Callithrix jacchus: one gene and its partner. The protein of the gene in region 2 binds, or shares a complex with, the protein of the main gene of each other region. Links are inferred from orthologs where the notes say so. Each region holds a gene or a part of one and is shown on either strand. Other genes may lie near its edges.

Region 1 (3,810 bases), on a different chromosome or scaffold from region 2:
TTCAGTTTTAATTACCGAAGTGCCAAAGACCCTGTTAAAAGTCTGTTTCTCTTGTTAGGAGATTGCACAGTCAGGACCCTGAGGATAGAATTTAAAAAAACCTCCTCCCTCTCTGCCTACCCCAACCCCCAGTAGATTTTATAAAACAGTTTTGTGAAATTTCCAAACCACTGATTTCTCAAATACTTTGTAAAGTTTTCTCCCTGTGGCATTTGGAGACAGCCAAATCAACATTGGAGAGTTTAAATGCATTTTTTGAGGTGAGACTCCTCTGGTAATGAATCCATTGGACTGCTAATAGGCACACGCAGCTGTTTGTGGCACCCACTCAAATAGATGTCTTCCTTCACATCCATTCACCAGAGGACTGATTCTCTGGCTGGGTGGAAGCAAGTAATCAGCCCAAAGATGCACTAAAACAGCTGCTGGGAATTCACAGGTAATGGTGTTTTGTTAACCTAATCACCCTCTTCCACATAGCAGAAAAAACAGTTTTAATGCCAGTTTTATTTATTTATTATGTTTTTTATTTTTCTTTATTTCTGAAATGGAGTCTCGAGTCTCGCTCTGTCACCCAGGTGGTGCAGTGGTGCGATCTCAGCTCACTGCAACCCGTGCCTCCTGGGTTCAAGTGGTTTTCCTGCCTCAGCCTCCCAAGTAGCTGGGATTACAGGTGTCCGCCACCATGCCTGGCTAATTTTTTTTTTTTTCAATAGAGACAAGGCTTCACCATGTTGGCCAGGTCTCTAACTCCTGGCCTCAAGTGAGCCGCCTGCCTCAGCCTCCAAAAGTGCTGGGATTATAGGAGTGAGTCACCGTGTCTGGCCAAATGCCACTTAAAAAAAAAAAAAAAAGTACTTTATAAGCTCTGGATCCTCTTGACCTACTGATTTGAAAATAGGAAGGTGGGAAGACCCACTGAGACCGTGGGAAGAGGATCTAGAGGTGGAGGAGCTGGGATGAAACCCAGGCCCTCAGAGCATCTCATCTGTGAGGGCAGAGGTCAGTGGGGTGAAGTGCTCTTTCTCACAGCGTCTTGGGAAGAATGGAGGGGCTAATAGGTAAATTCCCTGATGAGGTATGATGCAAATCTGTGCTGCTTCTAAAAGATCATTCCCACTTAATTTATATGGAAATCCCAGAGTCCAGAGCAATACCAAACGGATGCTTCAGGGCCCATTTATACGTTGGCAGGCAAGCCACGGTGTTCCCAATTCATTTATGCAAACAGGAGCACACGTACAGCCTTCTCAGAAGGTGTAAGAAATTTTAATTACAATGATAAATACCGTGCTCAATAATAAAGCTTTAATATCCCTGGCAAACAAAGTCACAATGTACTGCTATTCTCCTTTCCCAGGGCAGCACAGGTATTTTAATGAAAGTCTTTTTATATATCTCATAAAATTATTATTGGAAAGAATAGAACTAAGTATTTGATACCTTTTTGGCAGTGAGGTATCCTCGCACTCCAAAGCTCAGCCAAAGGTGAAGAGCAAAAACTCTTAAGCCCAGTTACCTGGGTTCAATCTCTATACCACACTTCCCAGCAGTGTGAAATTGAGCAGGTCATTTAACCTCTTGGTGTCTCAGTTTACTCATCTGTAAAGTGGGGGTAACAATACCACCCACCTTTTTGAATTGCTGTGAGAATTAAATAAGCTAATATATATACATAGTTTCGAAACTGTACCCAGCACAAAGTAACCAGTAAGCCTGGTTAATACCATAATTATTAACACTAACATCATCATCATCTTTCTCCCGTGGTTTGGGAAACTGTACTGACCTCTTGTAACATATCAGAGTCTTCAATGGCTTTGACAGCGATTTTCTTGGATGTTTCCTGAATTTCTCCACCTATTATAAACTCGTCCAGGATGAAATAAGCCTTTTCAAAATTAAAGATAATATCCAGCTCGCAGACCTGGTAGGACAAAAATAAATGTTTTGATAAACTTGCAGTTGTATCACGGGAAATATCTGCCCGAATCTCGAGCTTTTTCAGTTTGCACTCATGTGGCATACCAAAAATAAAAATATCAGACGGCATTTTAAGGACAGAAAAAAAGAATGGGGAATGCCAGGCCTTTAATAAAAGGAAGGCCGCATTCTATTAAAGCAAAGCATGTACTTAGATAATAGTGTTTTGTGTTGCAACAGGAAATTTGAGACTCGGTAAGGGAATGAGGCTACTCGGCTTTTCTTTCTATCTGCACCAAGAAAACTGAGCCCAGCTGCATCCCAGGCAGGAGGGCAGAGCTTCCTTTCTCCTGCTCTCCGCTCTGTACATCTTGGCTTCTAGCTTTAAAACTCTCTCAGAAACTCACTCTTCAGAGGAAAATGAGCTCAACTGTGCTAATTTTTCTCAAAATTATGTCACAGCCAGTGGTTCCCAAACTCATTCCAAAGGCTCATTAAAACACACAGGTGCTGGGCCCCCACCCCCAGAATTTATGACTCAGGAGGTCTAGATAAGAATTGAGAATCTGCACTTTTAACAGGCTCCCAGGTGATGCTGAGGCCTCTGGCCTGGGGGACTTCACATCAAGAACCCCTGGCACAGACTAAAGCAGAGTCTGATAGATTCTGGTGTTTATTTAAAGTGTAGCAAGAATGGCAAGATCTCTCCCAACATCCAAATAATGCTCATTTCCAAAACTCGCACCCTCTCCTTGCTGTCTTCCCTACTTATTCCTGTACTCACTGCCACCCTCTCTTTCTACACCATACCCCACCCACCCAACTGAAGCTGTTCTCTTGAAACTCTGCTCATTGAAAGTCTCCAGACCTCCCCAACGTTTACCTCTCAGTAGCATGTGGTACTCTTCACCAATCTCTGATCCTTGAAAATCTCCCTTGCTCTCCTGATTTTGGCAATACGGCGTAACGCCTCTTTTTCTCCTCTGTCTCTGATCATTCCTTCTCAGACTCCTTGGGTCATTTCTCTCCCTCCTACCCTGCATTTGTTTAAGAACTATTTTCCTGTGCCTAGTACATATCAGTCAACAGAACAGGCAAACATCTCTGCTGCATGTTGTTTATATTCTAGCCATCCATCTTCTCTTTGAATATTCATGTTCCTCAAGAAAGGCTTTTCTCTTTGCAAAATGCATATTCTCCTGGACAAACTCACTGACTCTCTAATGCTGTGTCTAGCATGCAGGTAGCTCAACAAACCTAGACGACTGGCCCTGATATCCCTCTGGGCCACTAGTCCAATATTTTCACCCACTGACTAGACACCTTCACATGCCTATTCCTCAATCCATGTCACCAAGTCCCAAACTGATATCAAGACCATTCTTTTTCCCTTAGACCCTATTTTGCTTAGTAGTTGTAACCTCTTTCTAATTTTCCATCTAATTCATTCTAGAGTTCAACCAACTTACCTTCCCTCCCCCGCTTATTGCTCTCCCCGCCTTGATCTCACCCCCGGGATGTGGTCATCAGTTCCTACTGATTCTGTTGTCTAAATAAATCCCTACCCTCCCTCTCTGCTCTGCTTTCACAGCTGCTACTTCGGCTTGCAACACCTCTCAGTCAGGTCACTGCAATGACCTTCCAGGTGGTGGCTGTTCCTGCTCAAAGCCATTGACCACTAATGCTTTGCTAAAATGCTGAACTTGGTCAGGTGTGTGGCTCACGACTGTAATGCCAGCACTTTGGAGGGCCGAGGCAAGTGGACCACCTGAGGTCAGGAGTTCGAGACCAGCCTGGCCAACATGGTGAAACCTCACCTCTACTAAAACTACAAAAAATTAGCTGGGCGTAGCGGTAGATCCCTGTAATCCCAGCTACTTAGGAGGC
Region 2 (4,557 bases):
CATACAGAGATAAAATGGGTTTTTATACAGAATTCATTTTACCCTCAATAATGCTAATACACTTTACAGAAGGACAATGTCACTATTTGCTAATGACAGGTAAGTAGCTACTTGTAGTGACCATGTTTGCTGATTATGATCATTAAAGCACACAACAGAACACCAGAGCCAACAGAATAATTAATATTCCTGAGACTGGGCCTGACGCGGTGGCTCATGCCTGTAATCCCAGCACTTTGGGAAGCCAAGGCAGGTGATCACGAGGTCAAGAGTTCGAGACCAGCCTGGCCAATATGGTGAAATCCCCATCTCTACTAAAAATAGAAAAATTAGCCAGGTGTGGTGGCAGGCACGTGTAGTCCCAGCTACTCGGGAGGCTGAGGCACAAGAATAGCTTGAACCAGGGAGGTGGAGGTTGCAGTGAGCCAACACCCCACCATTGCACTCCAGCCTGGGCAACACAGCAAGACAATGTCTCAAAAAAACTTTTTTCTAAGATTATCCTGAAAAGACTCTCATGTATTGCTAATAGAAGTCCAGATGCAAATGCATGTAAGTCTTTTGGAAAGTTAGTTACATTTTTAAGAATCTTGAGCAAACCTGGTTTATGCACTAGATGGATACATGTGAGAAACTAATTTTTAATAAATCTCAGGATAAAAACTGTATATTTAAAAAATCAAAAACAGAACAAAAATAGTTGCGTATCAAATGTGATTACAATTTCTTTTTAAGAAACTGCATTGGAAACAAAGGCTGGAAAGAAATGTTAGCAGTTGGGTAAGGAGACTATGGCTGTTTTCTTTTCTCTGTACGCTGTTTTAAGCTGCACTCGTTTTACAATGAAACCCAGAAAGATGGATGAAGGAAGAAAAGGAGGGCGAGAAGGGGAAGGAACGCTGCTTAAAGGTAAGAAAATAGCCTATTTAGACCAGCTGATTACCACTTAGTTAAAAGCTATAATTAAGCTTTTACCCTAGCAAGGAACTAAGTGATCACAAATGATAACGAAGTCATATATTTGCAATGAAGGGATATCTTACCTAATTGTCATTTGACAGGTGTAGCAAAGGAATTATAATTGCACAATGCTTTACAGTTTACAAAGTGCATTCAAAATATCAGGTCATCTGTCCTTCAAATATTCCTGAAATTGGCTCACATGCCCCATTTTAAGGTTCAGGTAATTGAAGGTTACAGAGAGAGTAATATGCCTTAATAATAATGTCTGTCATTTATCAAATGTTTACTATGTGCCAGACCCTGGGTTAAGTACAATCTTAAGAAAATTAGTCCTATGTTATAGACAGAAAAAGTGAAGGGGCCAGGCGCGGTGCTCACGCCTGAAATCCCAGCACTTTGAGGGGGCCAAGGCAGGCAGATCACTTGAGCCGACAAGTTATAGATCAGTCTGGGCAACTAGGCCAAATCCCGAATGATGGGGAGTGATGGCACCCGCCCGTAGTCCCAACTATTTGGGAGGCTGAGGTGGAAGGATGCCTTGAGCCCAGGAGGCAGAGGTTGTAGTGAGCCGAGATAACGCCATTGCACTCCAGCCTGGGTAGCAGAGGAGACCCCGTATTAAAAAAAAAAAAAGAGGGAGAGAGAGAGTAAATAAAAAGAGAAAGTGGAGGGTAGCTAGGTAGGCACAGTGGCTCATGCCTGTAATCTCAGCACTTTGAAAGCCCAAGACGGGAGGTTCGCTTGAAACCAGGAGTTGGAGACCAGCCTGAGCAACATAGCGAGACCTTGGCTCTACAAAAAAAATTAGCCAAGCTTCGTGGTGTGAGCCTGTAGTCCCAGATACTTGGGAGGCTGAAGCAGGAGATCACTTGAGCCTTGGAGTTCGAGGCTGAAGTGAGCTATGACTGCATCACTGCACTCCAGTTTGGGCGACAGAGCAAGATCCCGTCTCTTAAAAAAAAGAGAAAAGAAAGAAAAAAGGAAAGAGAGAGGTTAGTTGACTCGCTCAAGATCATACAGCTAAGTCACTGCTCTGATTCTAAGCCTTACACTTTAAACAGAAGTCTTGAATTACATATAATTCAACTTCACAAAGCCCTAAAGGGCTCCACCACTAAAGTGGTAGAGTTGGCTTATGATCCAGTCCCATGTTCTCGCTTCAAAGAGTTACCAAGTCCGACAGCCATTATGAGGTTCTATAAGCAAAGGCCCTAGGCCCAATCATACTCAAAAACTCATGTTGGCAGAGAGCCCACGCCTCAGAAGAAAGGCGTGAATAACTAAAGTGGAGGGGACAAAGCCAACAAGTCTTATAATGTACACATTAAGATGGAGCCAAGAATTCAGAGGAAACGCTCTCTACTGGAGCAGCAAGGATAGCAATAAACATCACGATATCAACAATTCCAGCACCTTACACTCCTGTAACCTAGCGCAATTTCCAGAGAGCCTTCAGGTTCATCTCAACGGATCCTCGCAAAAACCTGTGGTCTGGGCTGGGCAGGGCAGAACGGGAAACAGTCTCACTTTACACAAGAAGCCGAAAGGAACGCGGAAAAGGGCCGGGTGGGGAGAAAAGCACGAATTTAAGAGCTAAGGGCAGCCACCTGGGGAGACTAGGCGCCTAGACCGAGTGGAGGAAGAGCACAGGGCCCGCGGCGGTGACAAGGCCCACAGAGGCCGTGGTGCTGGGGCCGTCGTCCGCCGAGGCTCAGGGGCCTTGAAGGTCGGCCCAGGCGCCTATCTACTCACGTTGGACCAGCCGGTCCCCAGAGAAGGTGGAGGAGCAGCTAGTGACCAACGCACAGGGTACGCCCGCAGCCATTGCTGCATTCGCGAGCCGGTTCCTTCAGGCAGCCGCTTCCGCCTTGGGCTGTACCACGGCCGCCGGCGCGAGGGGGAGACACGCCGGGGAGGGCGTTCTCGGAATGACTAGGCTGGCCTGACCCCGCCCCCAACCCCCCTTCCGCTCCCAGCGTGGAACAGGCCAGGCCGCGCGTGGTGTTGCCATGGGGATCAGAGCCCCGGGCTGAAGGTTTCCGCGCTTGGAGACCGCGCCTCCGCGGAGGTAGCAGTTCCCCCTGCCCTAGCCATGGCTCAGAACAGTGACAACCACGACCCTGTCGGATCCATTTTAATCCAGGTGTGAAACGGGCCTTCCCCGGCTCTGCCCAGCTGCGCCACTTACGAGCGAGGCCCGGCGCGTCGATTTGCCGGCGCCCACATTTGGGGCGCAGTCCCTAGACTGCCTCCAACACGCGAGAGCCTCCCAAAAATGCCCACCCTGACCTTCCCCCATGGCCCAGCACACTCCCAGGGACTTACCCTGCAGGTTACGCCCCAGGAACACTATATTCTGCCTCTGGGAAAACTCTAAAACCATTCACCTGGAACTTTTACTTCAGAAAAATTCACCTCATGCTGAGGCACCTTTTTTATTTTTGGAGACGGAGTTTCGCTCTTGTTGCCCAGGCTGGAGTGATTTCGGCTCACTGCAACCTCCGCCTCCCAGGTTCAAGCGATTCTCCTGCCTCAGCCTCCTGAGTAGCTGGGACTACAGGCGCGTGGCACCACACCCAGCTAATTTTTGTATTTTTTAGTAGAGACAGGGTTTCACCATATTGGCCAGCTGGTCTCGAACTCCCGACCTCGTGATGCGCCCTCGTTGGCCTCCCAAAGTACTGGGATTACAGGTGTGAGCCACTGCACCCAACCGAAAGAGATTTTTCATTTGAGAGGGAAAATGTCAGTCTTGACTTAACGAATATTACTCAACAGTTGCACGCAGGTGTTTCTGAAATGGTTATAGAATTTTGTTTTCACATTTACGTCTGGTAGCTTTAAGATATTTCCACATATATCATCAGTTTTAACTATCACATATATAATAGTTGCATTTGACTAAGTTGTTGAGAAACGTTAAGTTAGGAATATTAATGTTGAGAAATATTACGTTTATTAATACTGATGAATGCTGAGTGTGTGACAGAATACGTTGTTTGCTAGGAAGAATGATAGTAAGGAAAACTTAGCCACCCCCACCCCCAAGTAGAAAACTACTTGGGGCATTCCAAAGTGGCAGGACAATATATAAATGTCATACACCTGTGGAAACAATTCTTTAAGTTATCTGACCCTGCCCCCATGGCTCCCTTGTGGAGAATACTTTTTAGAATATGTTTTTTGTTTGTGATCAATAGTAAGCGGCTACCAGCTGACTACTTGGCGTGTTTTGTGTTATGAGAAAATACCGAACACCTGTTGTTAATAATGATCACCTGTTCGGAGAGAATAAAATGCATGGGTCAGCGTTTACCCGGGGCCTTCTGCCTGGTGTTGTCAGGTCCTGAGGCTCTCAGTTTGGAAGGCTGCTGGCCCCCGGGATACACCCACTTGGCTGTTCTATCTGGGTGTCTGCCTCTCACTTCCTTCAGTGCTACCTGGGTGGGGGTCTCTGCGAGCTGGTACTCAGTACTAAGTCTTGAAGTTGTTTGCCTGAGGTCACTCTATCAGAACTGTCACTCAGTACGTCTGAAATGGATCTTGCTCTTGTAACAGATCTAATTTTTCTGTCAGAATTTTGATCTCTTACCT

Evidence for each region.
Region 1: the proteins of AAGAB (region 2) and AP1S3 are in contact, whole or in part, in a crystal structure (PDB 9DDT), measured with the Homo sapiens proteins. The link is inferred for Callithrix jacchus from reciprocal best matches to the Homo sapiens genes AAGAB and AP1S3. Residues at the interface, in NP_078942.3 of Homo sapiens: Asn51, Lys52, Tyr53, Tyr54, Glu108, Val109, Met110, Ile111, Gln128, Ile132, Gly135, Phe136, Glu137, Asp151, Phe153, Pro154, Glu155, Arg161, Gln164, Ala165, Asn167, Ala168, Asn169, Val170, Met176; in NP_001034658.1 of Homo sapiens: Arg10, Gln11, Lys13, Arg15, Gln37, Leu40, Ser41, Arg61, Tyr62, Ala63, Ser64, His85, Val88, Asp92, Phe95, Val98, Glu100, Leu101, Asp102, Ile104, Phe105, Asn106.

Annotation. Positions count from the first base shown.
Region 1 is NC_133507.1:145,503,675-145,507,484, forward strand, and holds part of AP1S3 (AP-1 complex subunit sigma-3), read right to left. Parts: intron 1,928-3,810; coding exon 1,790-1,927; intron 1-1,789. UniProt on the Homo sapiens protein: Subunit of clathrin-associated adaptor protein complex 1 that plays a role in protein sorting in the late-Golgi/trans-Golgi network (TGN) and/or endosomes.
Region 2 is NC_133509.1:14,307,699-14,312,255, forward strand, and holds the start of AAGAB (alpha- and gamma-adaptin-binding protein p34), read right to left. Parts: upstream 2,823-4,557; 5' UTR 2,789-2,822; coding exon 2,716-2,788; exon of another isoform or gene 2,571-2,715; intron 1-2,570. Other genes in the region: IQCH (IQ domain-containing protein H), read left to right, coding at 3,056-3,106. UniProt on the Homo sapiens protein: May be involved in endocytic recycling of growth factor receptors such as EGFR.